Linked DNA regions of Nothobranchius furzeri. The protein of the gene in region 3 interacts with the protein of the main gene of each other region in a biochemical or structural test. Links are inferred from orthologs where the notes say so. Each region holds a gene or a part of one and is shown on either strand. Other genes may lie near its edges. The genes, in order: eno1a, stat3, proto-oncogene tyrosine-protein kinase Src, ptpn11a, tamalin, asap1b and ptpn6.

Region 1 (2,631 bases), on a different chromosome or scaffold from region 3:
CCCTCTACCGCCACATCGCTGACCTTGCTGGCAACCCTGAAGTAATTCTCCCTGTCCCCGTGAGTATTGATACAAAATACTGGGTTGCAGGTGGTTTGCACACGTTAAACAAAGGAATGTTGGACCGAGAATCTTATCATTGACTCCCCTGTTTCCTTTCAGGCCTTCAACGTCATTAATGGCGGCTCCCATGCAGGCAACAAGCTGGCCATGCAGGAGTTTATGATCCTGCCAGTTGGAGCCAGCAGCTTTAAGGAAGCCATGCGGATCGGAGCTGAGGTTTACCACAACCTGAAGAATGTCATCAAGGAGAAATATGGCAAAGATGCCACCAATGTGGGAGATGAGGGTGGCTTTGCCCCAAACATCCTGGAGAACAAAGAAGGTGTGAGAAACAGTACTGTTGCAGGGCAACACAGCCGTGTTCACTGGATTCATTTAATTGGGAACATTTTATTCGAGTTTCCTCTGTAATTTGGTTTTGACAGCCCTGGAGCTGCTGAAGAATGCCATCGCCAAGGCCGGCTACACTGATAAGATCGTCATTGGCATGGATGTGGCTGCTTCTGAGTTTTACAAGGGTGGCAAGTATGACCTGGACTTCAAGTCCCCTGATGACCCTAGCCGCTACATCACCCCTGACCAGCTGGCTGATCTCTACAAGGGCTTTGTCAAGGACTATCCAGGTTGGTTTTTGAAAATTACAACTTTCTTCAGACAAACAAAAGCGCAAAGTGAACTAGATCAGTCTTATTGTCCAATACATCCGTCTAACATTTTTTTATTCTGCTTTTTCATCTTTCTGTTCTTAGTGGTTTCCATTGAAGATCCCTTTGACCAGGATGACTGGGCAGCATGGACCAAATTCACAGGCAGCACCAGCATCCAGGTGGTGGGCGATGACCTCACCGTCACCAACCCCAAACGCATCTCGAAGGCAGTCGATGAGAAATCCTGCAACTGCTTGCTGCTGAAGGTCAACCAGATCGGCTCGGTCACAGAGTCTCTGCAGGCGTGAGTGCCCACAACATGGCTGACCGCCACCACAACACTGCCACGATTCAAGGCGGTAAACATAACGGGGCTCCTCTTTATTTCAGCTGCAAGATGGCGCAGAGCAACGGCTGGGGTGTTATGGTCAGCCACCGCTCTGGAGAGACGGAGGACACCTTCATCGCTGACCTTGTGGTTGGCCTCTGCACTGGACAGGTGGGATTTTTTTTATTTATCTTTTTTAACAATGGCTTTTTCATAATTTTTGAAGTTGTAACTATAAATGGCTCTCTATACGATTGCAGATTTGGATCTAAAATGTTTATTTTTTCTCCACCCACGTAGATTAAGACGGGTGCTCCTTGCCGGTCTGAGCGTTTGGCCAAGTACAACCAGCTCCTCAGGTGAGTCTGCCCCCAAAACACACACCGCTCATAGCACTTGATCCCATAAATGGCATGAAACCAAAACCTGACCTTCTTGCAGGATTGAGGAGGAGCTTGGTGACAAGGCCCGTTTTGCCGGACAGAACTTCAGGCACCCCATCTGAGCGGGCCTTCTTCCTCGGGCCACTGCGTGTTCATTGCTCATAATCTCCACACATGTACGCCACGTTAGGTCTCCTGCCGTATATGGAGAGGAGAAGAAGAAACCTCTGTAGTCCAAGGTCCAATCTGTGGCATTGAAGCGACACTACATCCTGGTGCAGCCACGGCTCAGCTCATCCTGAAACCATGCTTTAGCTCCCGTTATAGTGTTGGTCTCTGTGTTTGTGTCCGTGTTGCTTTGTGTGAGATTTCTTTAAGCTTCTTGTGAGTTGTAGTGATCTTGGTCCTGATTATTTGAGCAACTGTAACTTTAGTAAGGTTCTGCCTTATAAGCGGTGGTAAGAGTACTGTATGTGCAATGTTGCATCCGATGAGGTCTTGTGTTGTAACTGTTGGCAGAAATATATAATAAAATAATATAGTTTCAAAGGTTTTCCTTGTGGTTTTTATTTGCATAAAAAATCCTACATGTGACTTCAGCACTAAACCCATTTAAGGCACTGAAGTAATAGAGTTTGACAAACTGTAGAAAACCTCACCCTGGGTTAGGTTCTGCTTCTGTGAAATGTAATCTGGGATGGAAACACGAGCTGAGTGCTGTGACATGAAATTTCCATTAATCCCCTGGGTGAAAGAATCGCGCCTCGTTTTACACAAAGCCTTTAGAGGATAAATGATGGTCTATCCATCAGTGTTATGGTACCTCAGCTGTTTGCCAGCTGGGTTTGTGCCACACAATTTACTTTGAGCCCTTTCTTAACCTACATCCATTGTTTAATCATCACCTAGGAGATGTTCTACAAATTGCTGGCGTAGAAACGATCCCAATCACGCAGAGGCTTCTACAGATGACTGAGCTGCTGCAGGTTTGTTGTATGAAAAATAAACTCAAACACTGAAACTATAAAACAACCCAGCTGGATTTTAAACCAGTGCTGCATCATGGGTTAAACACTACTCAGTAGGACAGCCAGAGTAAAATTTGAGATTTGCGCCATCTTGTGGTCATATTAAGCGCATCTTCACATTTAAAACACGTTTTGTACACCTGACCTAAGTTGCTGAATGAGTACAAAAGTAGATTCACAAA
Region 2 (3,947 bases), on a different chromosome or scaffold from region 3:
ATCGATCTTCAGGCCTTGGTGGTAGACTTCTGTCTCAAAGGTGATAAGATGGAGTTCCTCTGTTACAATGAGAGAAGCCTGTAGGAAACAGATCCATTCAAATGTCTAAATATATAGTTCCAGAATATCATTTATCACTCAAAATCAAATCTATACGGTCAAGAGGCTTTCTTAAGAACGCGTCACATCATACTTTCCACGTAAATGTAAGATAAGACTTACATCGCTATTAGTCCGGCCACCGTTACCACATCTCTGTTCCCGCAAGGTCTGAAACAAACAGGAAGTCGGTGCTTCAGAGAATGCCTTTATCAATCGCTTCGTCACTTTACTCAGTAACACATTGTTCCTGTAGCTCACCAAGTGTTTGAACTCAGCAGAAAGGCTGCCATTGTTGGATTCCTCCATGTTCATGACTTTTGTGTTGGTACCAAGGATGTTAAACTTTCGTGATCTGGTAAACAGACGCAGCAGGAAGTAAGACCCTTCTCTAGCAGGAAGTAAGACCCTTCTCTAGCAGGAAGTAAGACCCTTCTCTAGCATCACTCTCGTTCAGAAAGCCCGCTTGTACTCTTACCCTCTAATTGCAGCCACGTCACCAGATTCTCTGAAAAGTGAACAGAAAAGTATGTGAAGCAGTCATTTTTATCCCAAAGCAGATTTAAAACCAAACTAAAAAACTGCTTACTTGTCAATGCAGACTTTAATTTTGAGCTGGTAATTGAGTTCAGGAAACTTCACCAGTAGCCTTGAGAATAAACACAAGAACAAATGAGGAAAATAAAGTGACAAAATGTTGCAATTTTTAACCACGTGCTTTATCAAAAACTTAGACACGTGTAGAAATATGCACGTTTCTCTGATTTGGACCTGGCTCTTACCTGACCTTAGTTGTGAACTGCACCCCTGTTTTAATGACCAGGGGTCTGTCTGGGTGCATGGGCATACACGGCTGCCTTTCAACCACAAAGGCACTACAATAAACAAGGATTGGATTTTAACAGCTACAGAGAAACAATGGAGCAAACAGCAGTTGTCTGAAGACATCTGGTATGTAGGTGGAAGCTGAACTTTGACTCATCCTCTGTGTAGGAAAGCCCATCGACAGTCTCTAGTACCTCTTCATGAGGTTCCTGAACAGATCCACAATCTTCTCCTCCAGGGCGGGCCGGTGCTGAATGATGGGGTCTCCTTTGTAGGACACCTTCTGCTGAAGCTCCTCCAGCTTCTTGATCTGTTGACGAATCTGGAGCTGGGACTCGGCTAAGGATGTGATCCTGATCAGAACATTAAATTAAGGGTGTTGTAAAATGATTACAGAATAGCTCTTTTTACTGAGGTCAATAGAGATGAAGAACGATCACCAAAAGTTCAAAGACAACTGGATTCTTGACAATCTGAAGGTTATAATTTTACCTGCATTTTCCACTTCCTCTAATGACCCTATTCATTCACACCGACTCAGAGATGTAACGGTTTTATGTTCTTCATGTTCATCAAGTCTTCTTTCAGGAGGGTGGCGTTAGCGCCGAAGCCCAGAGAAGCAGACGTGTCTGTCGGGTGTGGACCTTGATGCAGAGATCTTGTTCTACCTTGGCATGGACGGTTTTCCCTGGATACTCAAGCTTCCCTCCACAGTAAAATACATGAATACTGAGTTACTTACAGAAACTAATGTGATCATAGCTGTCAGCTGCATGGCTGCTTGTCTTACATTGTCTCCCCAATAAATTCTTTTACGGACCAGCAAAGGCCACACAAGTTTATATGTAGACGGGAACATTTCTGACTTCCTGTTTATGTGATTTTGTGAAGTTTTTAAGGTTTTTGTCGTTTCAATAAAACTTCAGTGATGAAATCTGGCGACTGAAATTTGTCTTTCCCGTTTTCAAATCCAGCGGTGGGAATCTTTAGGATCCTCATGATTCAATTCAATTATGACTGAGACAGTTGTGATGGATAACACAAATATTATCAATACATCTTTATATTTGAATGACCCAAAAGGAATTTATTTCTAATAACTTCTTATTAAAACAAGAAAATCTTTTGTTAAAAAATAATAATAATCCTTCGCTAAACGTAAATCAGATTTCATACAAAAATCTTTCTAGACTTTGTTTTATTGTGAAAAATTGCCAGGTTTCAGAAAATTATTTAAAAAAAATCCAAGATCTGACTTGGATCTGATAAAATAAGAAAATAACAAATGCTAAAAAATAAACTACAGATAGACTAATAGGGATGGAATAGAAACATCTGTACCAGAGGAAGTGAAATTATTCACCGGCAGAAATGAACCTCAAGTCAAGGAAGGAGCCTCAATCACTTGTTACTTCACGTAATACATGCATAGTTACAGCTATGTTCTACATTTAGCCAAAGCATCGCGTAACGTCTGCAAAGTGTAGCTTTGCCTGCCAGCTCAGCTCTCTCTTCACCACGACAGGCCGGTACAACGCCCGCATCGCTGCAGAAGCAGCACCAATCTGCCTGTCGATCTCACTTTCCATCTTTCCCTCACTGGTGAACAAGACCCCGAGATACTTAAACTCCTACACTTGGGGCAAGACCTCGTCCCTGATCTGGAGAAGGCATTCTACCCTTTTCTGACTCGAGACCATGGTCTTGGATTTTGAAAATTATTTAACTAATTCAGAACCATTTGTGTTTCATGTAGAGTAAAAACTAGACCGCCTCCTCCCCCACCCCTAGTTACCATGTTTCGAGACGATCGAGGCAGATGTTTGGTGGGCCTCCAATGCAGGCGATTTGCTGCCTTCGTTTCCATTCTGCAAGTTCCTCATCAGTTAGATTCTTCTGTACATAATCCATGGCAGTCAGCAGGCCTCCCACATCTGTCACGATTTGCTATTAACACAACACAAAGTAAACAAAACAGAAATCACCAACAGCAGTCCAGCCACAACTAACGCTGAAGCATTAGAAAACTGCCCTTTGGCCTATTAAACCAACAAATAGAGGTGTGTTCGCTTTGTTTCAAGTTTGCAAATGTCTTTCCATCTGGCTTCTAACCATGTTTATCAGACACCCACCCTCCTGAGCTGGTCTAAGGCTGTCAGCATCTGCTCCAGCTGAACCATCTTCTGTCGAGTGGCAGCTGCCTGGCTATTTCCGTTTAGGTCTTGGGACAGCTCTGGAGACAGGATGAACATACCGTGGATCAGCTAAAGGCTTACCTGCATCTGTATCAATACACATCCCCAATAAGTCTGGAAAAGTGATCATTAAAACATACCGCCTTGGCTTTTCAGGGTTTTGTAATTAAAGTCAAAATCATCTTGCAAGTTTTCAAGCATCTTCATCTTCTGTTCCATGTCCTGTTAAGAACAGACGATAATGTTCTTATACTTCTGTCTGAACAAAACCATTACGATGTGGTTCGGTAGCGTTAAGCCGTTTTAGAGAAGCGTTATCAGATTAAGTCCTTTATTTAACTGACCTGCACCCGCTTCCTGATGTCTTGAAGGTTGTGCTCCAAAACTTGCTGCTTCTCTGTCACTATTGTTCCAGTGGGATGGGCCGCCTGGCCGTTCTATAACACAATCAACAAAACATTTACATTCAAAAGCTTTGTGTCAAAAACAAAGATCTATTGTTAGATTGGTTATATTTTATGTACCTGTGAAACAGTGGTGGCTGTCTGCAGCAGCCTTTGCTCCTCCCACAAACAACGAGCAACAATCCGGGCAATGTCCATCGGCTTCTCCAGATATTTGCTCTGCAGGTGCTGTTTGATCCTGCGCAGGTTGTGCTGATAGAGGACATTGTTCTCCTGCAGGAAGCGGCTATACTGCTGGTCTATTTCCCCCAAGAGGTTGTGGAACACCAATGTGGCATGTGACTCCTTGTTAGCAGCGTAAGCCCTTAAAGAAAATCACCAATGTTATAATGACTTACACGTACTCCTCCCAACAACAAGAGCA
Region 3 (4,631 bases):
CTTCTTCTGTTTGTTTGGTAAAGCTGCATTTAAGCTTGGAAAAAAGGAACATATATTCATTCCATGCGTTTAGCCGTTTAGTTTTTAATGTTTCTGGTGTTCGGCCCACAGGAGGAGACAGAGTCCACTGATGGGAAAACGACAGAACCAGTGAAGAAACCCAAAGGACCAGCACCTCAGATTCGACAGAAACCAAAGAAAGAGAGCAAAAAGAAACGATAGAGCTTTGTGCATCTGAGTTTGTTTGTTTTTGTCATCTGATACATTTTAGTTATTATTACAACACTACATGGAACACATTTCTCAATGATCCTACTTTCATATTCACACAGACTGCAAAAAAACACGATGTTCATTGACAGTGAAGAGTTTTCGTTTCCCTTCATTTTATTAATAAATATTGAAGATATTGTTGGAAATGCATGTGGATTACAACTGACCAATAAAGTCATTCACCTCAGCTGTCTTTATGATTGTTTTACTCATGTCTGTGAGTCAGTTAAGTGTGACTGGTGTTCAGCTACAGACACAAATATCATAGGGAGATTTGGAGTTTTGCAATGTATTTAAATATAAAGAATAGGTAACTTGTCCATATTTGATCTCGATGCTTTTGATTTATTATGTAAATTTGGGTTTATTTGTGTCATTGTAACTTTCTTTCTCTTGAAATCGCATATCTAGAGAGAATTTTTTCATAGCTAAAAATTTCATTAAGCCAAACGTCATTTTATAAAAAATACTTTTATTTCTATTACAAAAACATTAAAAGGGAACTTATTAAAATAGATGATTGCGACAGTAATTTGAAAAATAAATTGATAAACTATGCACTGATTGTTCACAAGTGCAAACCTTTACATTTACTCAGTTACCAGATTATTTTAAATTACAACGTTGTGGAACAATAAAACTCAAAACTGGGGCAAATGTTTTCCAAACGTCAACAACCCCGGAGGGTTTGACTTTAATGCGACAGTCACGTTCTGCTGTAATGGAAGTGTTGCTAAGCAACCACTTTACGTTGCCTGTACTTTAAGCAAATCATCTCAATTAAGTCATTGCCGGGGATTTGTTATGTAACAAAGTTGTGTATGTATTGAACAGATCTAAAGGGGTTAAACGCGGCAGCGGTGTTCAGAATCTGTTCGTGTCATGCCCAAAGTGATTCCCTTCACAGAGCCGAGTTGCGCAGTTGTTGTCGTAAATTCTCCCGACGCTCTTTGAACGTAAATCTAGTCTTTTCGTGTTCGCCCCTGGTTCGCCCTCATGTTTCGTAAGCGATGCGCTCTCTCCGGCGGCTTCCTCCCCCATACGAGGCTGGTCTTCCCCGGATAACACCGCTCCAGCTCGTTCGCATGATTTTTACTGCGCCGTCGCCTCCTTTCCAGCTGGACCGTCTGCCGGTGCTTCGCCCGGACCACCGCCGCCGTAGCTCACCGCCACCACCGCGGCAGCTGCGCTCCCTCCTTGAGGAGAATCAGTCCTCGTCATGACCTCTCTCCCTTCCTCCGGTGATTCTTCTGATATTCGCTAAATGGGATTTGCGGCTGGACTGAGGTTTCCACAGCAACTGCCCGTCGGCTTCCATATTCTTCTGATGAGAACAGCCATACGAATCTGACCGGGCTCCTCGCTGCGCTTCTCTGATTTTTTTATTTTATTTTTTTGGGGGGCTGAATCACAAGACGCGTCAAAGGTAGGTTTAGTTTATTACAGCATGTAGCGGCTTTTTCTCTCCTGGCGAGGAGATTGTTTACAGTTTTGGGGCCAACCGCGAGCTAACAATTAGGTGTTAGTCTGTTTTCACACATGTATATATGCTGTGGTCCCCTACACACACATACACACACACACACACGCTCATTGTTACACAGGCCATTCAGAGACCACGGCCAGTGCAATGATTCAGTCTGAGCCGGGGCTTGCCCCTTAGGACTTACTACAGACCATAAAAAACAAAAGGTTTGTAAAAATCGCCATCGTGGCTTCGTCACGACGCCAGATGCTCAGAGAAAATCCGATGAGACGAGTTTGCTCTGAAAAAGAAGCCAACAATCCATCGAAATCCAAAATGGAGCTGTAACAGCACCTGTTTTGATTCATCAGGCCACATGCACTGGAGCTACCGCTGTCTGTCACTGAGCCCTCTTAAAAATAAGTCAATCCACGTTCCCATTCACAAATCCAGAAACCACCTGAAACGGATCGCCCTGCTAACTCTGGCTGGTTTTTAATTAGGTTATGTCTTTATTTTTATTTTCTCCCCAAGCAAAGATTCCGTTTTGACAGTTGCTACTCCCGTAGGCAGCAGCCACCCCACCCCGCGTTTCATTGAAAGCAGCTTTGCTGACAACTGGTGTTTAATCCCGTGGAAATAGAATTTTAATTATGTGGCTAATAGTTTATTAGCAGATAGTTTTTTTTTGGGGGGGGGGGGGGGGGGGGGCTGTTCCAGCTAATTTCTGGGAGGAAAGAGATCCAGGTTTCTTATTAAGGAGGAACTTTAATCCTAAAGCCCTAGTATCTGAGCTACTGGTGGACTTGCTGATCCACCAAACATAAAGGAAGCTGCAACATCTAACTGGGCTGTAAAAGCAAAATTAAATATTTTTATCCCATAAATGGGGGCAAATGGGTGATAAACATGATGTTCTGTTTTTGGGTCATTCAAAATATTTGGCTCAATTGGCTGCAGCTATGTTATTGTCTCCATTATTTATTCATGCGTTCATCTGTTTTAGTCAGCAGACATTAAATGTACAGACAGCTTCCTAAAATCAAGGGTTGGCTAATCTGGAACTAAAGCCTTCAGTGAACTCCCACCTTTCCTGATCTTGTTTGGTGTTGATACTAGGAACATTTCAGGAATGTTTTCCTGCCTGTTTTCAGGTAATTCCGACTGCTTGTCATGTCTCACTAGTTGAAAAGGTGTTCCCTGAACACCGACTCATGAGTTATGTCGCAGAACTTTTTTGCATGGAGGCTTCCAGGTGAATATCGACTTCAAGAAGACCAAAAGGTTATTTTACTTTCCTAATGCCTTCAGTGTAAAAGTGAGTGGAGACTTTAGACATGTTTTGATCAGAGGGAGTATTATAAATAAAATGCTCTCATTTGAATAAATGTAAGTCAGAAATGGGGCGTACACGTAGAACAGGGTGAGTTTTAAGAATTTGTAAATGACGTGACATCTCTGACATGAAATGGCCATCATGTCCTGTAAAATTAATCACGCTGAAGCAGCCGCTCCCCACGGCCAGGATCACTGGTTCCCAGAGCCTTCAGTCAGAGATGGACGGAAGTGTTTTTTCTTTATCAGCTAAGTGCCTCAGTCTGTCCGTCTTCCTCCTCCTCCTTTTTTCCCCTTGTCTCTCCTGAGTGTGTTTGCCAGAGGACAGATGAGATGGGAGAGCTTGTTTACCCTTTCCACACATGTTGGATTGTTCATGTAAAGGCTTAGAAGACAAGAAGATGTGGTTCTGATGTTCATTGGACCTAATCAAGTCCATTTCTCTTCCTCTGACTATGTAAAGTAGGACAAGACGGCAATGCCAATGTGAATGCTTCCTCTTGTTTTGATCATGGGGAACCATCGCTGACCCCTCCCCACCTCCTCTTCCTCGCCTTCTCTCCCGAGGGCAAACTGTAATTTCCCCATTGAACTGAAACATTAGCCAGAGCTCCTTCAGTCTCTGCAGCACAGCAACAACTGGTACCGTCTGTTGTGACTCAGTCAGGTTTGTCATAGCCAAATGTGCAGCAATAGTGTGCTCATCATCACAAGAAAAATCAGGGTTGATAAGACCTGGGACAGGGGGATGGATTAGCAAAAAAAGTGTTCTGTTTCCTACGTAAAATCTTAGCACAAGGTAAGACTGACTTCAGAGCCACAAATGTTTTTGTTTTGGGTTGTCATTTTATCAGCTTAAGTCACAATCGGTGTGATCAGACATGCCACGTTCACGTGCTGAATGTTCGGAACTATTTCTTAAAGAGCAAGTCAACTCGTACAAGAAACTTACTTCACTCCCTCTTCATGTTTGAAAAATGCAACAAATTCTGTTGCCTGGCAGACCGAGAGGGCGGAGCTGCTAACAAATACACACAAAGACAGGCTCACGACAGCATTGTGACATCATAATGTACCAGTTTACATCATAGCATACCTCTTAACCAATAGCGGTGGCAGATTTAAATTAAAATACAGTGCAGAGTTTTTACCTGACAACGGCACAACACTGCCAGTTTTAGGCAGAATATTTGAATTTTAACTAAGATGCACTGAAATGCCAAATTATTGACGACACGTGTCTGCAGCACGATTAGACACTCGTTTATTTAGTTTATAAGCAAAAAAATTTTGATTTGGGGGGGTCTCACTCCAGACTCTCACTCCACTCCCACTTACTGAAAAATGCAACAAATGCTGTTGCCTGGCAGACCGAGAGGGTAGAGCCGCTAGCAAATATGCACACACAGGCTCACAACATTGTGACACCATAATGTACCAGCTAACGTAATAGTGTACGTCTTAGCCAACAGCAATGGCAGATTGAAATTCAAATGCAGTGCCGAGTTTTTACCTGAAGAGGGCGATGACAGTTTTAGACAGAATATTTATTTTTTAA
Region 4 (3,947 bases), on a different chromosome or scaffold from region 3:
GTGCTGCACAGCCATGTAGATGAACCTGTACTGGGCCTCCGTCTGCACCATCCCAGAGCGCAGAGAACGAACCATCTGGATGCTCTTTGGTACATCAATATCACAGTCCACCCCTGCAGCAACAGAAAAATTGCTCTCTAATTTCTCTCTGGGATTAATAAAGTATCTTTGAATTTGAATTGAATTGAATTTCTGATTGTTGCACAAACTTCATTTTAATGCTTTTTACTTTATCTTTGTCAACTACAGACTAAAAGTTTAAAACCTCTGGGAACCGTGGATACAAGGACATGTACAGACATTCATTCCTTTAGGTTATTTTTTATATATCGTTCATGTGGTGAATTTTATTAAAGTCACAGCATGTTACAGAGACAAAGATGAGAGAATATTTTAATAACAATAACAGGGATGTTTTAGTTTGTACCCTGCTGTTCAGCTGAAGGGCTCATTAATAAAGTATGTTTTTGTGTTATAGCTAATGTATACCTTGTGCTGATGAAAAGCCAACTCACCCTTTTCTCTGATCACATCTATCAGGATGTCTATCACAATAAATGTTCCTGTCCGCCCGATCCCTGCACTGGAAAAGACCAAACAGAAACGGAGTAAAGGTTTTCCCTCCAGCGCCGCCGCCCCCGTGTCTTTTAGATTCCTACCTGCAGTGTACCGTTATTGGCCCAGCATCAGCAACGCTCTCCTGTTTGAGGTTGACTTCCTCCAGGAAGTCCAGTACACCACCTGGGTCAGCAGGAACACCGTGGTCTGGCCAGGTTTTGAAGTGGTACTGCCACACTGTGCGTTCTGTGTTAGCCTGACAACAATGTTTAGATGGTGCGTCACTAAGAACTTCAGTAAAATGAAAATAATTTTCAGACCCCCAAGAAGAAAACAATTTAAAGTTGTGGATCACTCGTTTAACCAATACATTTGCAGTAGTCTCCAGTAGGAATGAATGCCTTGCAGGCAGAACTCAGGCCACAAAAAGCCCACAAACCCCTATCTCAGCAGATAATTGGACATCTTGCCTCAGACTGGACAACAGCAACGCGACTCTACCACTAACTCTGTTTGCTCGGGGACATGGATGTTTTACCTCCACAAATAACAAGCCTGGAGGAGCTTCAGCTGTGTGAGTGAGTTGCTAACGCTAGCGCTTATCTTCGGTTTACTGAGACATTTTCTGCTGATTCTGGACAATAAAACAACAACAGCCTTCCCCACCGTGAGTCAATATGGGTAAGTCCAATTCACCGTCTACTTTCTATCAGAAGCTAATGCAGGAGATTGGTGTAAGAAACTATTTTCATGTTCAACCTGCATTAAAACTCAAGAGTGACCGATTATAATCAGAAATAATCATTAAAAATGTTTTTTCAGTTAACCATTAACTAATACTAAAGTCATAATGGTCAATAAAACTATTCCTACAAACCACCAACAGCTTACCTGCCCAACTTTGGACAGCTTCAGTTCTCGTAGGGTGTAGTCGTGGGCGGTCGTCTCCCTGACATTGCGAACACGCATGGCGCCATACTCCTTCAGAGCAGACATGTCTGGCCAGTACTTCACACACTTACTCTGTTGAAACATTTATGTTCATTTAGTTCAGCTTTTGTTGAAAAACGTCTGATTTTACTATTACTAATAAAACACCCTGATGTAATATCAAGCAATCAGAGATTTTGTGATCAACTTTTAGCTGACTAATAGAGGTATAATATGTTTGTGATGTTGATTAGCTGTGGTCATCTAGAAACCTATTCAGTCGTTGATGTACATGTAATGATTACTTTCTGGGAGTTTCACAAAACTCAGCCTGGTACCCGTTACTAATGGAAACAGATGTGAAACTGCACTGAGGAGGTAGAGATGGAAAACCCATACCTGTCAGATGCTTATTTACAAATGCTGTGAAAATAAGTCTGGTATGAAAATGAGCTTAGTTTCAAACGAGGACTTTTGTGATCAACTGTCCTTCATCTGACGTCTCCTCTAAACTTGATGTAAACGATCATAAAATTGAGGCAGCAAACATTCTGACTGATATTTGTTTTATTCTCTAAACTTTTAGTCACTGCTGTTGTACCCAACTCGTGTAGATTACCTTTCCTCTTTCCACCTCTTTGGTGGTCATGACGATGACTCGAGACTCTTCCTGAAAAACCATCCGCCAGAAGTCACTGATGGTGTTCTGCAAGCAGCCCTGAGTAGCTATGTAGCTCTTCTTTACTTTGTTGGTGTTGTTTAGGCTCACATCCGGCTGCAAACACACGCACATTTAGCAAAAACAACAAACACAAATATCTGAAGTACAAACTAACGGACAACACAGAACAGCTGTGTCTGTCCTGATGAAGGCAGCAGGTATTACTATGATGATATTGGCGTTGATGTAGTCGGAGCCTAGTTCGTTAGGGTCCCCGTCGTTCAGCACCACACGCGAGTGGTCGACTGCAAACACAAACAAAAACAGAAGAGCTGGTTGGTTCAAACGTCCCAACAGCTGGTACCTAAATCATCACACTTGGAGGCGTAGAGGTTCCTCACAAGGAAGGATGTTCTTGTATCGGTTCTTGTTTTTGTTCTCTGGTCTCTGACCCTCTTTGCGGCTGTAGAGCAGTTTGCACTCCTGTTGCTGTAAAGTCTAAATGAGGAAAAAGAAAGACAACATTTACAAGACAGTTTCCACAATAACTTACAGCATTTAATGAAAAAACATCACTAACCAACATATTTTAATGTTTTAAAAGAAAACAAATCTATATCACTTGTCTTATCTCTTTATTTATCAATCAGTAACATTTAATCACTTCAGGGTTAATTTCCTGGTTTCTACACTCAGTCTGTCTAAAAGCTTCAGTCTCACCTCAAACTCCTCCCAGAAACCTTGTTTGACCTTGTCAGTGGCCTCCGCTAGTTTACTCAGCTCTCGAACTCGACTTTCAATCTCTGCTGCATTTATACGAGTAGTGTTTAGGGGCTGCGGACGAAGGCAGAACAAACGTTCACAGATCAGGTGCTTCAGTATAAGATCATGGCTACACGTGGTTGAGGACGGGTGAAACTAAAACGAGGCGGACCTGTTTGAGCTGAAGCACGGTGCCGAGGGTTTCCACCATGGGGTTCTTCTTGTAGTGCTCCACCAAGTCTGTGAGGGAATCAAACTTCTCCCCTCCACCCACGTCGTACTTCAGGTCATGCTGGGGACGAAGAAACAAGCCACCATCAGACAACCGTGTTGGGTACAAATGTGAAGAGAAGGATGCTTTGGGTCCACCTTGTTAATGATATGTGGGAAGAAACGCCGTCACAGTTCAGTCGGATCCGAGAACATTTTATATAAACGTCTAATAAATGAGAAACTTCACCTTGGTTTTAAACTATCAGCAAACAGCACTGTGATATTGGTTAAATGTTTCATTTAACCACAATAAAAGTTTTCTTCAGGGACGGATTTAAATTATTATTTAAGCAGTGGTTCCCAACCTTTTTCCCAAGGGACCCCGTTTTTTACCAGTAAAATTTTTGACGACCCCCTCCCATTCTCTCTTCCAGTACAAACATTAAGAAATGATAAAATTGTTCAAGCACATTTTAATATGCTTTGATTCAATAGATAACAGTAATAGTAGGCTCCAGTACAGAACAAAGTCATTAACAAAACCAAACAGAGCATAATGTGCTTGACAGTTTGTATTACTTTTCTGAGCACATTGTTTCTTGTAAACACTGATAAATCAATCATTCATTTCAATAAACGTTTGACACATAAAAAATACACTGAGCAAAATGTACTTAAATGTGTATATTACTGTTTATACTAGATTATTTACTGTAAAGGCTGTGATTAATCCACCAGTCCTATCTTTAATGAACTTTTGACACTTGAAAATAAAACAGTGAGCTGAGCAAAATGTTCTTAAATGTGTGTTACTTTTTCTGTA
Region 5 (4,421 bases), on a different chromosome or scaffold from region 3:
AGAAACAAGCGTCTCGTCTGAGGAGCAGCGAGCAGCGGCCGAATTTCGTGAGCGCTTCGCCTCCCGGCGCTTCGGCGGCCGGTGTGTCCCCGGCCTAAGACAGAGAGGAAATTATCTCTGTCTGTCCCCAAAACATGTTCTTATCTGAATCTGGTGCCCTTGAGCCTGTGAGGCTGAAGTAATTACTCCCCCTCAGAAGACATGTGGAATGCTGCCGTTGCCATGGCAACTCCATCTCCCTATCCCAGCCTGGGCGGGACTGACAACTAGTTGGTGAAGGTCGTGGAACCGTTTCCAGGAGTCACTGGGCTTTCTAACCCAATTACCTCCCTCCCCTGTCCAGACGGAGGTGACGGGCGCTGCTCATCGCGGCTGCATGCACTGATGTGAGAAGAGTCCCAACCCTACCTCCCCACCTAGTGGACACTTATGTTGTGTGATGTCTGAAGTCTGTTGCATTTCTGTCTGAGGTGTTTTTTTGCATAGCAAAGCTGCCCTCTCTGTGGAGGGTAACTCTGAAGTGCCTTTTTTTTCCTCCACCTGAACCAATCCTCATGTAAACCCTCTGATCTCTATTAAGGTAGCGCGACTCGGGTTGCGAAAGACCACAGTCACCAATTCTTGTCATGTGTCTATGTATGTATGTCTGATCTCAGAATTGTGTGTGTACTGAAACTCTAATTTCCCTCTGGGATTAATAAAGTATCTTTGAATTGAACAAGTGGAAATTCACACAATGGCCCTGATCTAAAGTAAAAAATTGAGGATTTTAATAGCTGCATGGGACTGTGCCCATCAGCATCTGGACATCAGAGATAGACACACAGAACAATAATCTGTAAGACTGAAGGACGTCTCAGTGGTAGGGGGACATGCAAATTCATGGCATCATCTGTAACCACAAGCTTGGCTCTGACTTAAGGGGAAGTCGCCGTGAGGTTTGCGTAAAGGAAAAACAATGAGCTGGGCCAAAGACCAAAACAATGTGGGAGACTGTACCTTTGTGGTTCTGCTGATTGTGTGAGGGGTTTCCACTTCTGTGGGCCACCTCCCTGTGAGGAGAAAACAAAACCAGACGTGAAGCGTGTCAGACACCTACAAGAGGTTAGAGCAAGATGAGTCATGAGGGTTCCCCCTAAGATCAGCTCCCAGCACTTCCTGGACACACCTGTGGTGCACTGGTCCAGCAGGTTTTGTAATGGCAGACGCGTGCCAGGCGGTTTGTTTGTATTTTAAAACCACTGATCCATTCCGTCGGGTTCGAACCACACCGACGAAACTAGAAATGAATGTCTGGCTCCTGTTGTTTACCTTCAAAGAAGGCATTCAGCTAAATTTAGCCCAACTTTCACACCAAGTCAGATGTCCCCGAAGCGCTTGTCCATCTACCTAACTGTTCGGTAAAGAAACACGTGAGACAGCGTGGTGAACTACAACACCAGCATTGAGAGGAATCAGCGGCAGGTTGGGTCCCTGCCCCACCTGACTGTATAAACAAAAGAAAAGGTATCAGTCCAGATGCCTGTGGGAAACCACCCAAATCAATCCACCTCTGTTCCAACTCAATCATGTTCAAATGTGGTTCTCTGAAAGCCTGCTTTGTGTTCTCATCTCCCAGCCCACTAAAATGTTGCTTTCTTAATGTCCCAACACTTACAGGACTGCCGTCTCAATGGGGGCATTTATTCCCAAGTACCCAGAGTCCAACGGGGGTGTCTCGACAGGATCTGCATTGGTGGGAGTGCACAATGCTGTGTTGTAGCCACCTCGCCCTTATTACAGCACGCTGGTTGTGTGTGGGCTTGTCACTGTGTCCCACTGTGCATCCCAGCTCTGAGGAAAGGGAAGCCTCCAGAGATCTGCTCTGCTCCGCTCTCAAAACTAGAGTTAAGTTTTCAGGGTTAATGAGAAACAACCCAGAAAATGTACAAAGGGACAGCTGAGGTGAGCAGTCACTTCCTCAAATGAATCACAAAGCTGCCTTCAGGACAGCGAGTGAACTCAGGAGTCCTTTGAATTTGACTACTTTCATTTTAAGTCTTCATCAAGTTTACTAATCATCTCCAAAAACACCAAAGTGTTCTCCAGAAAGCCAGATCATCAGCTTTAGCTCAGTCAATTCCATCCAAGAACAATCACCACACGTGTGTGTGTGTGTGTGTGTGTGGTGTGTGTGTGTGTGTGTGTGTGTGTGTGTGTGTGTGTGTGTGTGTGTGTGTGTGTGTGTGTGTGTGTGATTCTAAGATTTTCTCTCAGCAGAATAAAAATAAACAACTCGCCGTTTATAAACAGAAAGGATGCAACAACTTGCATCATTCTGTCTTGTAAGCAGAATTCTAGATCAAACTCAAGCGCGTTCAAAGTGAGTCTTCATTATTTTCAAGCACCTCACAGAGGCAATTATTTATTTATGTATCCATAAAATATATGTTAAACATGGTTTTTTTATCATTTGCTTGTCACCCAATTCCAACTAGGACCCAACTAGTTGTCAAGTCACCTTAAAAACAGTTAAACGCCAAACTTGTAGCTGCAATAGTCAGGCTGCTGCCGAGGGGATCTTGTCTGACCTTTTTGAGGTTTCTGGGCAGCGTCCCGCCGGAGTAAGCCAGAGTTTTGTAGTTGTAAACCTCCGAGAAGCTCGCAGGTAGCTCCACGCTCCTGCAGCTGTCGGACTTGGACGAAGGGAAATAAATGTCGTCCTGAGAAGCGGGTCCGCCTTCCGGACCGCTGGAGTTCGCCTTCTTCAGCCGCCTGAAAGTCATCGTTGTTGGGAATGAAAGGGTTCGCTGAGCTCCAGCAGAGGACCTGGTAAGGAGCTGATGAATCACCTACTTCTACCTCCTCCTCCGTTTGAGTGTCGCCTCTCATCAGTAGCAGGGGGCGGAGCTTACTCTAAGTGGCACGAGACGCTACGCTCCACGGCACATTCAGGGCCCCTCGGGCGTTTCTGCTTCACGTTCACTAACGACAGTCCTAAATAACGTGTAATAAAGTAAATGTACTTCTAAATTATACTCGTTCAAAGTGGAATATCTTAAAGAATTATTCTTCATATATTTGACCAACACCAAAATAAAAGTGAAAAACAACTACGAGTGTTAGCTTTTATTTGATCATTTTTCGTGTAACTCAGCATTCACAGATCGGGCATTTAAATTACAGTAACGTATATTTTAATTCCTATGGAAATGGACTAATCACACAAATATTTAAAGCACATTTTAATTATTTCCTGACATTTAACAGACCAAAATGATGCAATTGTTAAATACCAGCAAGGATCTGAGAAAAGTTGCAGTGTAAGTATTCTTGTGTATTTAATCATACTATAAATATTTTTTTTTCTTTTTGGATTGTTGAATATGATCCTGACAATAATTAGTCGATTTAAATAATTGTTACATAGTAGTCCGTTTACACAGATAATCATACCACTTTAGCTGATTGTCCTTGACTGCTTGGTTTCTTTTACAGACTAATCTGTGCGTTTGCTGTCTCAGACTCTGTATTCCAGAGATGCTGTAACATTGCATTGATTTTATGGCATTTTCCCGTTGGAGCAGTATTGGTCCGGTCTTTCAACACGTGATCGTAGCAACTCCAGATTGTTGTTTTTTTTTCTAGAGTGCTCTGGTTTGTTTGTTTTTACAAGTTTTGAAAAGTTTTGAGTAACATTTGCCGGAACAGTGTCCACATGTGTCATGATTATTCAGATAGCAGGTGAGGGATGGATTTCTAACCTGCACAAAACCTTACTTTTCATTTACTTTGGAGAACACGGGGATACTACCTTGCAAAGATCAATCCCCTCATTGGCAAAGGCAAAGAGAAGCAGAGGGAAGACAACATTTTGGTAGTGGACCAGATCTGTGACTCCAGATTCAAGTGTAATCACACCCTATTTGAAGCTAAATCTAACATTAACTACAAAATGAGCTTTTAACAATTAAAACAAAAACTTCAGTCCAGACAATTTATTAAAATCTTTACATGGAGTTATTTCAGAAATGTTACATTTACACCTTAAATATATATTGAAATGATATGACTGAAAAGCATTAAATTAAGACTGCATAAATTAGAATAAATATTCTGAGCCAATATGTCAAATCTTAGATAACATGTAATGACTTTGTGGTCTTAGGAGAGTATCTCTCAGCTCTCAAACACATTTTCCTAAATTTGGTCCAAAGAAGAAGACTGACTGCTCAAGCTTTTCTTTCCTGTTCCTCTCAACACTCACATTTCTTTTAAAATTAGTAAAAAGTCTAACACATTTACCATCAGTCTGTTCCTTTCCTTCAATTTTGTTTCTGAAGAAACCGGAACACCTGTTTGGCTTTGGGGCATATTTACAGCCTCAACAAAACAACAATACTACATGGTAACACAGAGTGTGGATTATAAAGGCACGTGAA
Region 6 (3,947 bases), on a different chromosome or scaffold from region 3:
CGGGGCTGACTCTGGTGCAGCTCCACCTTATGGTGCAGCTCCGCCTTTGTAGTTCTGCAGCGAGCACCCTCTCGAACTGCTTCACCTCTGTTACAGCTCAAGACGAAGAACACTCTTTTGATAAACACATAATCAACAACTTTGTTAATTACCAATAATAATGTGAGCCCAATGTTCAATCAATCTGTGAAATGACAATGTTATTACTTGATATTATAATCCTGTGATCAGTAGTATTTTACAAGTAATAATAATCCTGGACATTTGCACTAGACACTAAGGACACATAATGCTAAAGTCACACGACACATTTCCTTTTGTCTGATCCAATCAGAACCTTTGTTTCTGGCATGAGGTGTGGTTTTCTGTGGTGTTTGTATAAACCCTCTTTTTGCATGTCAAATTCTGATTCGCCAGTAAACCAAAATATGACAATTATAAAGACTATTCAACGCCGCCTTTTCTTTAGTTCAAAGTGTTCTAGAGGAGTCTCGGACAGGCCATGCGGACTTCCTCTTCAGCCATAAAGAACCTCAGACAAGCTTGATAAAATCTGTTGGAAGTTACACCTGACCGCAACGGTTCCTTCAGAATAAAAGCTGAACCTCACGACCCCTTCAGGGTCTCGGAGACGCCAGTGATAACCTGTCGTGACCTGGAAGCATTCCAAGACTGGTTTGGTCAGCACCGCTGCTTTTCTACTGGCTTCGGTACCAAAGAGGGTCCACAAGGACCTCGGCATTCTGGATCTGATCGGAGGCTTCCCCTGGGTATGTAGACCGACAGATGGCGTTTCATGTGTGTTATAAATCTCCTACTAAAGTTTAGAGCGAAACATTCACTCCTACTCAGAACTAACTGCTTCTCCGGATCCGCTGGTTCTGAATAACATTACACACACACACCATCATCATTCATCACGTCTCACCCCACCTTAGTCCATCAGTACACAGAGTGTTAAAGTTAGCCTTGATTAAATTGTGTAGAAATAAATTTCTTAACTATTTTAAACCTGACTCTCTCTCTTTCCTTGGAGTTAATACGAAGTGTCGTTTAATCCCTGCAATAAAAAGTTCTGATCTTTTGGTTAAAATATTCAAAGATCCATCAGATTGATATTTCATATTTCTATGGAATCTCACATTTTATGGTTCATAAGTAAGATGTAAACTACCCATCCTTTACATTATAGTGGATATGAATATTGTAGATGAAAATGGATAGTTTGCTTGTGAGCCCAGTGTTGATGCATTCCTTATGTTTATTTGATGATGATAATATGACCCCAGGAAGAATAGCAACTGTTTTAACAGTGGCTAATGGGGATCTTAATAAGAACAAACAAACAAACCTGAAGGGAGGCTCTTCTTCAGCACAAAGAAACATTTTGATGCTTGTTTCTTCCATTTTTAAATCAATATCTTGTTTTCTTCTCAAATTTAGACATGAAAAAGCCTAAGAGTGTCATTGGAGCCACATGCCTCTGCTTTTGACTTTCGCTAAAGTTTAAGCCACTTCCCAGTTCAAAACGTTTTCAACAAGTCAATGAAGTTACTGCAAAATATTAACTCAATAATACAACATCAGTTTTAAATGCCCGTGTGTACAGCTTCTTGACGTTTAAAGCTAAACCTGACTCAAGCTAACAGCCCCCCAATGTGGTTTCTGCACATTTCTGAAAATCAAGGTAGAAAAATTTACTTTTTCTACACATTTTTGGCAAAGAAGCAACTTAAATCTTTATTGACAAAAATAACGAGCAGCAAATCTCTGGATACTGGAGAAAAAAAGTTTTTTTTTTTTTTAAGAAATCTGTTTGCCCTAAAATTTCTGCATTAAAGGTGCATTGTGTCGAAATGAAGTAAAAATTACGTCCTGTGGTAAAATTTAGTAACTGCCACCAATTTAAACAACTCTGGAGCTGTTTGCCGGCCATTGTCAAATTACAATTGTCAGCGCTGCAGCATTAGCTTGCAGGGGACACGGCAACCCCACACTCACTGATGGTAAACAATAGTTACGTCCAGGGTTTCCCCCAGAAAATTAGTTAACCCTGGCGGATTCGGCCGTCGGGGAAGGGGGGGATCGCGCGCTCCATCTCGCAGCGCTCCTCTGTGACAGCGGGGGTGATTGCACACGTTCTGCTGCTGTTTCTCAACAGTATCAGGTGATGGGGGGGCTCTAGTTTCGTTGCGCCGTTCGTGTCAGCGGACACGGTAGGGTCGGGGAGGGGGGCGGGGCATGACTCTTAGCCTAGCGGGTGGCCAAGCAAAGCCTGGCGGCGCTGGGGGAAACCCTGACGTCCCTCCTTCCTTTGTTTGGAAAGGAGGAAAAACTGACAATCCCCGCAGCCAACTGGATATGAAACATGCTTCATGACTGAAACATTTGACTGTTTTGAGCTGTTTTTACAGGACCATAGCATTTTCAATACAGGATTTGCCGCGGCTCTCTAGGGAGGATAAAGGCTGTTTATAAGATCAGACCATGGCGGTAATGTGGCGCAATCGTGGCAATTTTATAAAAGATTAGGTGATGGCGGCATAAAGGGGGTATGGGGCTGGGCTCTGCGCTGCCGCAGGCTTCCGTTTATCTTGGACATAACTTGCTTTTTATTGCGATTGAAGCCGTGATCGTTACCTTTATTTAACAAGCAGCTCCTAAAGGTGTCTGTCCCCATCAGTCCCTGTGCAGTCTCTGGTGATCTGAGCTTCAGCTCTAACAAAAAGGCTCATGGAGCGCTGCGGCGCTCCAGTTTGCCATCTCAGCTGATTTTGCACAAAAAGCAAACCTTATTGCCTGTGTTTACTTTCATTTTCAATAGATTTGCCAGCCGGAGCTCAGCAATAACTCCCCACGTCATCATGACATCTGCCTCTGTTGCGCCGGGGCGCATACGACAGACCATTACCGCAATATTACTACCAAGCGAGGCGGAACGAATGCCGCAAAATTCACGCAGCCACGCAGACATACCATTGCGGTAATATTACGCCCATTTACCGGCATGGTGTGTCTTATAAAAGCACCTTTGGGATTTTCTTGCTGTAAAATTCTCACAATATTTTTACATACTGCACCTTTAAAGCGAAAACAGCTCATATTCAGTTGTACATCAACTTTATAAAGAGAGTAAAAATAATGCTTTGTTTTTCTTGCATGCACAGCCAGTCTTGGCTAGAACAGCTGTTAACTTGATGAACATTAGAGACAATGAATACTAGCTCTCCTCCAGCAAGTGAAGCTACAGAGATTAGCTCTCACTGAAATCCAATAATCCACCAGCAGAACGGCAGAAGAAAAGGTCATCAGGGTGACTTTTTACTGGATCTTCTTAAATGCTGCCTTTTTTTGTTTAAAATTCACAAGTTTTTCTAAATCCGGGGGCAAATTTCAGCAGCTTAGGCACCTTATCATCCAGGTCGTCATCACTCTCGTCCATCTCCTCCAGGCGGAGGCTCCACTCATACTCCACATGGATGTGAGGGTTGAACTTCCCCTCTGCAGCCTGGACAAGCTGAAAGAGACAACAAAACTATCTATAAGCTGCTCTTGTTATGGGAAACTACAACAAGATGGCAAAAGCAAACTATGATAGGATTTCAAAGCTCAATCCCTCTAAACTAGATTTATTTTTGTCCCCGTTGGTTCTGCTTGTTCAGATCTGCGTTAATAACAAACACACATGAACAATTCCTTCCACTTGGCTGCTCCTGTCCCTTCTGGATGGAGACAGCAGCTCCGCTGCCATCTAGTGTTCAGACTCATCCACACTCGTCCCATCAAACAGCTGCAGCTTCAAAAGCGTTTGAAGCCTCCACTTTCTGTAATTTAGTCCGTGTTTTTAAATCAGGAGGGCTCATTCTGGTCAGATCCGGCCACTCGGCCTCCTGTAACTTACTGCCTCCTCACACTGACTGTTCCTCAGTCGCCTGGCAACATCCAGA
Region 7 (3,947 bases), on a different chromosome or scaffold from region 3:
GAGTATCAACGTTATATCATTGTTTCAGAGCTAATAATTTAAAAGTATTTAGATTAAAAAGAGAAGTAAAGCGTATTCAGTGCAGATTTAACTTCTCATGATTAGTTGAAATCTTTTTTCTCCTGTGGAGGATTAATTCTGATAATCTGAGGATAAATCTGGGAGCAGGTCAGTTCAGAAGGGCAGAGAACTGCTGAGTATGAGAAAGTATGTAAATCCTTGTTAGTACTATTAGGAAGTAAACTAAAAATACCAACACAAGATCATCTGATCAAGCTGCTTCAGAATTCCTTCAATCACAAGAACTAAATCCTACAATCAGTGGAATAAAAACCCGTTGTTCACCTAATAATCTTAATTTTTTGTTTCTTAAACCCTCAAAGAATTATGTACAAAAAAAAACAGTATTAGGAAATTAAAAAGGCACATCTATGGTGATATTTATTCTGTAATACAGTGACTCAGCAGTGACCCGAGGCACTCGGTACCTGCAGTGGATGATCATAGGACCAGTGTTAAATTCGTCCTGCTTAGCGTTGACTTGGGTGAGGAAGCTGAGGACTCCGCCTGGTTCCTGAGGGACGCCGTGATCGGGCCAGCTGAGGTACTGGTAGTGCCATACTGGACGGGAAAAATTGGGCTGGGAGTGAGAAAAAAATGGTTTCAGATATATATTTTTTACTTTACAGCCTTTTAATCTTCTTGTGAATGTACTTTGATGCTGTTACACCTAAATTTCCCCATCAGGGGACTATAAAGGATGTTCTTATTCTAATCTATTACATAAATGCAAATGTTTCCTCCAAAATGTTATAGTTCTGGACTAAAGTGATCTGAAAAACCACCACAAAGGCTGAAGATACTTTAAGCTATTGCTTTCAAACTGGTTTCAGTGGTTTTTGAGCCATAAATTTGACCGACTTCACATTGGACAGCACTCCGTTTCCCCCTGCTGACCAGAAACTGGACCAAACAGTTCTATGGTTTGGGTAGGAACACTGGTGGGAGATCTCTACCCTGTTCTATAGCTGTTACCCCCAAATTCCACTACCTCCGCTCCGCTGCGCTCCGCTCCGACACGAACGCCGGAGCAAAATCGGTCCCGTTCTAGTCAATCAGAGCAATTCCACTACTGCGGCCGTGCTCCGGCAGTGCGGCGCCGTGCGGCGCCCTCTGTTCCGGCGTCCGGCAAAAATAGAATCGATCCTATTTTTGCCGGACGCCGGAGCACCTCCGCAGTAAATGGACAGAAATCACAACGGCCCAACAGGAAAAGGAGCAAGCACATCTTCCGTTTTTCACAATAAATCGATAAACAAAAGGCGTTTTTTGTTTCATATGCACAGGTTTAACAACTTTTAACAACTATCAATGGCGGCTGAAGTTTAAATGCACAAAAATAAGCCATAAATACAGTTGCCACTATCAAAGTAGTCACACTTTGTTGATCCAAACACTGCTGATCTCTCAACACAATGATGGGCAGATTAAACAGCTCATTTCGATGCTTCTCCCGCACAACGGGTGTTTGGATCTAACTTCCGCGTTTATTGCTCGGACTGTATCGCAAGATCTCGAAAATCCCGCGCATGCTTGTTTGCCCCCCTCAGGTCTCCGCACCGGAGCGGAGCCGTTGTAGAGCGGATACCAGTAAAAATTGAGTTCGGAAGCGAGCGGCTGCGGAAGGCGGGGGCGGACCGGAGCGGAGCGGAGCGGAGGTAGTGGAATTTGGGGGTTAGTTGTTTATTGTGCTACTAGCAGTTAGCTAAAAAGGCTAGTTAGCTTTTTTTGGTTCACTTACTGTCAAGAAGAAGACGACTTTTGCTTTTTTTGTTGGCATCATGGCAGAGAATTCGAGTAAGAGAGTAATGTCTTTGGAGCAGAAGCAAAGAGCTAAAACCTGAGTGAACATCGGCACGCCCTACGCTAGTTTGAGGGAGCTAAACGAGGCTGCAAAATCACGGCCTGATGGTGACCTGGCTTTGTTGCTACTGGACGTGTAAGTAATAATATCCTTTCTCCAACAGTGTGGAACTTTTTACTTTGTGGTTTATTCAGTATCAGTTGGCTAGCACTAGCTTGTTAGTGCTAGCTACGACAGGCTGCTACAAGGTTGTTTATAACAGTTGTATTTCTGCTTTCAACCAGCAGAGGCAGGAAATGTATTTAGTGTTGCTTTAAGGATCACAACGAAGAAAATCTAAAAGAAGGAGGGACGACTAAAGTGCACAGAGTTGATGATGTCAGAGGTTTGAAAGTGACCTTAGCCACGGGAGCGATCTTCAGATGTCGAACTTTGTAATCAGAAGCTTCCCGCTCCGACTCACAGGTCACCACGTAATCTCCCACGTTCTTGGAAGTCTGACTTTCCGGCCAGTATGGTACGCATTTATTCTGCAGAAAAGCAAAAAAAGACACTCAGATAATCTCTAATATCATCAGCAAATGTAGATTATTGCATCTCAGCCAATAAAGTTCATCTTTATTCAGTAGGAATGTTTGGATTTTTTTAAGTGTCTGTTCCTGTCATTTTGGATACTGACCCGTCCTTTCTCCACCTCTCTCGTTGTCATGACAATCACAGTTGTGTTCTCCTGCCACACCATCTGCCAGAAATCGTTGACGGTTGTTGCGAGGCATCCCTGAGTGGCGATGTACTTTTTCTGTCCAACAGATTCCCACAGCTTGTTCTGCAACCAACACACAAACACGCTAAAGGCCCAGACGGTTTTCAGACGGCGGCGCTGCTCGTCCAGAGCGTTCCACCACTTACTTTCACGTAGTTAGCATTGATGTAATCGGAGCCGACGACATCAGGAGAAGCGTTCTTCAGGATGACTCTGGTGTCGTTGACTTGTGAGAGAAGACAAGAAGAGGGAGACAGGATTGGTCACAGAACCGGGTTTTTGTTTACAGAGCGAGAACCAGAAGGTTAAAACTCACAGGGAAGAATGTTCTTGTATCTGTTTTTGCTCTTATTCTCTGGTCTTTGACCTTCCTCTCTGCTCTTTTTCACCTTCGTCTCCAATTTTTGAAGAGCCTGCAAGAGAAGAGATATTTGTGTCAGATACTGGGAATTACATACGATTTTATTGAGACAAACTCATCAAAATAAATGTATTTTTGCAATTTCCTATATGCAGGAACAAGAAAAACTCCTAATTCCTCCTAGCTATTCTCTAAATGACCTTGTTTGTTTTTGTTCTGGTCCTCTATTTAAACCTTTGTAGGTCTCATAAAAGGATGACCAAACATTTTCACTTTGATTTTTCACTAATCCTTTTTATATTTTGGCAGATTTTTCACCCGTTTTCTGTCCAGTTCAGTCAAAATATCTGTGCAGTGTGTCAGAAAAAACTGAGGCAACTTGATGTGTGAGCTTTGGGAAAAAAGTCCTAAATGATAAAGGTTTAGAAGAACTGATGTTAACAAATAAAAAGATTTGGTGTCTGTGTCCAGCTGCTGGTAACAAACATCCTGGAGATCCGTATTTCAAAACCAGTTTCTTTGTTCAGCTGCTTGTTATGTGTTGAGCTCAGGATGTTTTATTCATTTTCTTTAGCATTATTGATTCATCGGTCAAGGTTTGGAGGTCTAAATGGAAAGCTGATCCTGTGTAAGGAAGAACGAAAGATCAGGAGAAAAAACTAGAATTAAAATAAAAGGCAAAAAAAAAAACGATCAAGGAACCTGTTGTTCTAGTTTACAGGAGAATGTTTAATTTAAAGCTGTGCTCTATAGCTATATAACATAATGCATGAGGATTGTGAAGGTTAAGTAGATTTTACAGCTACACTGCAAAAAATGAGTTCTAAAAAAGAAAAAAATTCAATTTTTTTAAACATTTTATCTAAACGAAAATAAATTCTTCTCGAGAAAAATAAAACTACTTAAAATAAGGTAAATATTCTTAAATATCATCAAAATGTCCTTTTTGTTTACTAAAA

The links.
Region 1: of the proteins of proto-oncogene tyrosine-protein kinase Src (region 3) and eno1a, one has a biochemical effect on the other in vitro, tested with the Homo sapiens proteins (4 studies listed by BioGRID). The link is inferred for Nothobranchius furzeri from reciprocal best matches to the Homo sapiens genes SRC and ENO1.
Region 2: the proteins of proto-oncogene tyrosine-protein kinase Src (region 3) and stat3 form a complex in vitro, tested with the Homo sapiens proteins (3 studies listed by BioGRID). The link is inferred for Nothobranchius furzeri from reciprocal best matches to the Homo sapiens genes SRC and STAT3.
Region 4: of the proteins of proto-oncogene tyrosine-protein kinase Src (region 3) and ptpn11a, one has a biochemical effect on the other in vitro, tested with the Homo sapiens proteins (2 studies listed by BioGRID and IntAct). The link is inferred for Nothobranchius furzeri from reciprocal best matches to the Homo sapiens genes SRC and PTPN11.
Region 5: of the proteins of proto-oncogene tyrosine-protein kinase Src (region 3) and tamalin, one has a biochemical effect on the other in vitro, tested with the Homo sapiens proteins (2 studies listed by BioGRID and IntAct, with this or other methods). The link is inferred for Nothobranchius furzeri from reciprocal best matches to the Homo sapiens genes SRC and TAMALIN.
Region 6: the proteins of proto-oncogene tyrosine-protein kinase Src (region 3) and asap1b form a complex in vitro, tested with the Homo sapiens proteins (2 studies listed by BioGRID and IntAct). The link is inferred for Nothobranchius furzeri from reciprocal best matches to the Homo sapiens genes SRC and ASAP1.
Region 7: of the proteins of proto-oncogene tyrosine-protein kinase Src (region 3) and ptpn6, one has a biochemical effect on the other in vitro, tested with the Homo sapiens proteins (2 studies listed by BioGRID). The link is inferred for Nothobranchius furzeri from reciprocal best matches to the Homo sapiens genes SRC and PTPN6.

The regions. Positions count from the first base shown.
Region 1 is NC_091755.1:28,673,337-28,675,967, forward strand, and holds the end of eno1a (enolase 1a, (alpha)), read left to right. Parts: coding exon 1-59; intron 60-162; coding exon 163-385; intron 386-488; coding exon 489-686; intron 687-812; coding exon 813-1,014; intron 1,015-1,100; coding exon 1,101-1,209; intron 1,210-1,338; coding exon 1,339-1,397; intron 1,398-1,479; coding exon 1,480-1,543; 3' UTR 1,544-1,974; downstream 1,975-2,631. UniProt on the Homo sapiens protein: Glycolytic enzyme the catalyzes the conversion of 2-phosphoglycerate to phosphoenolpyruvate. In addition to glycolysis, involved in various processes such as growth control, hypoxia tolerance and allergic responses.
Region 2 is NC_091745.1:6,831,277-6,835,223, forward strand, and holds part of stat3 (signal transducer and activator of transcription 3), read right to left. Parts: intron 3,888-3,947; coding exon 3,644-3,887; intron 3,557-3,643; coding exon 3,464-3,556; intron 3,342-3,463; coding exon 3,260-3,341; intron 3,158-3,259; coding exon 3,057-3,157; intron 2,872-3,056; coding exon 2,720-2,871; intron 1,278-2,719; coding exon 1,119-1,277; intron 975-1,118; coding exon 882-974; intron 749-881; coding exon 689-748; intron 608-688; coding exon 578-607; intron 455-577; coding exon 361-454; intron 271-360; coding exon 223-270; intron 79-222; coding exon 1-78. UniProt on the Homo sapiens protein: Signal transducer and transcription activator that mediates cellular responses to interleukins, KITLG/SCF, LEP and other growth factors. Once activated, recruits coactivators, such as NCOA1 or MED1, to the promoter region of the target gene.
Region 3 is NC_091743.1:58,638,621-58,643,251, forward strand, and holds the start of proto-oncogene tyrosine-protein kinase Src, read left to right. Parts: upstream 1-1,486; 5' UTR 1,487-1,699; intron 1,700-4,631. Other genes in the region: protein MANBAL, read left to right, coding at 112-222. UniProt on the Homo sapiens protein: Non-receptor protein tyrosine kinase which is activated following engagement of many different classes of cellular receptors including immune response receptors, integrins and other adhesion receptors, receptor protein tyrosine kinases, G protein-coupled receptors as well as cytokine receptors.
Region 4 is NC_091746.1:40,330,370-40,334,316, forward strand, and holds part of ptpn11a (tyrosine-protein phosphatase non-receptor type 11), read right to left. Parts: intron 3,204-3,947; coding exon 3,084-3,203; intron 2,984-3,083; coding exon 2,870-2,983; intron 2,648-2,869; coding exon 2,551-2,647; intron 2,455-2,550; coding exon 2,375-2,454; intron 2,264-2,374; coding exon 2,108-2,263; intron 1,582-2,107; coding exon 1,450-1,581; intron 815-1,449; coding exon 660-814; intron 584-659; coding exon 516-583; intron 114-515; coding exon 1-113. UniProt on the Homo sapiens protein: Acts downstream of various receptor and cytoplasmic protein tyrosine kinases to participate in the signal transduction from the cell surface to the nucleus. Positively regulates MAPK signal transduction pathway. Dephosphorylates GAB1, ARHGAP35 and EGFR.
Region 5 is NC_091755.1:37,123,330-37,127,750, forward strand, and holds the start of tamalin (general receptor for phosphoinositides 1-associated scaffold protein), read right to left. Parts: upstream 2,886-4,421; 5' UTR 2,766-2,885; coding exon 2,571-2,765; intron 1,053-2,570; coding exon 1,000-1,052; intron 1-999. UniProt on the Homo sapiens protein: Plays a role in intracellular trafficking and contributes to the macromolecular organization of group 1 metabotropic glutamate receptors (mGluRs) at synapses.
Region 6 is NC_091747.1:45,635,137-45,639,083, reverse strand, and holds part of asap1b (arf-GAP with SH3 domain, ANK repeat and PH domain-containing protein 1), read right to left. Parts: coding exon 3,902-3,947; intron 3,518-3,901; coding exon 3,410-3,517; intron 1-3,409. UniProt on the Homo sapiens protein: Possesses phosphatidylinositol 4,5-bisphosphate-dependent GTPase-activating protein activity for ARF1 (ADP ribosylation factor 1) and ARF5 and a lesser activity towards ARF6.
Region 7 is NC_091745.1:73,963,268-73,967,214, forward strand, and holds part of ptpn6 (tyrosine-protein phosphatase non-receptor type 6), read right to left. Parts: intron 3,041-3,947; coding exon 2,944-3,040; intron 2,854-2,943; coding exon 2,774-2,853; intron 2,691-2,773; coding exon 2,544-2,690; intron 2,395-2,543; coding exon 2,263-2,394; intron 641-2,262; coding exon 489-640; intron 1-488. UniProt on the Homo sapiens protein: Tyrosine phosphatase enzyme that plays important roles in controlling immune signaling pathways and fundamental physiological processes such as hematopoiesis.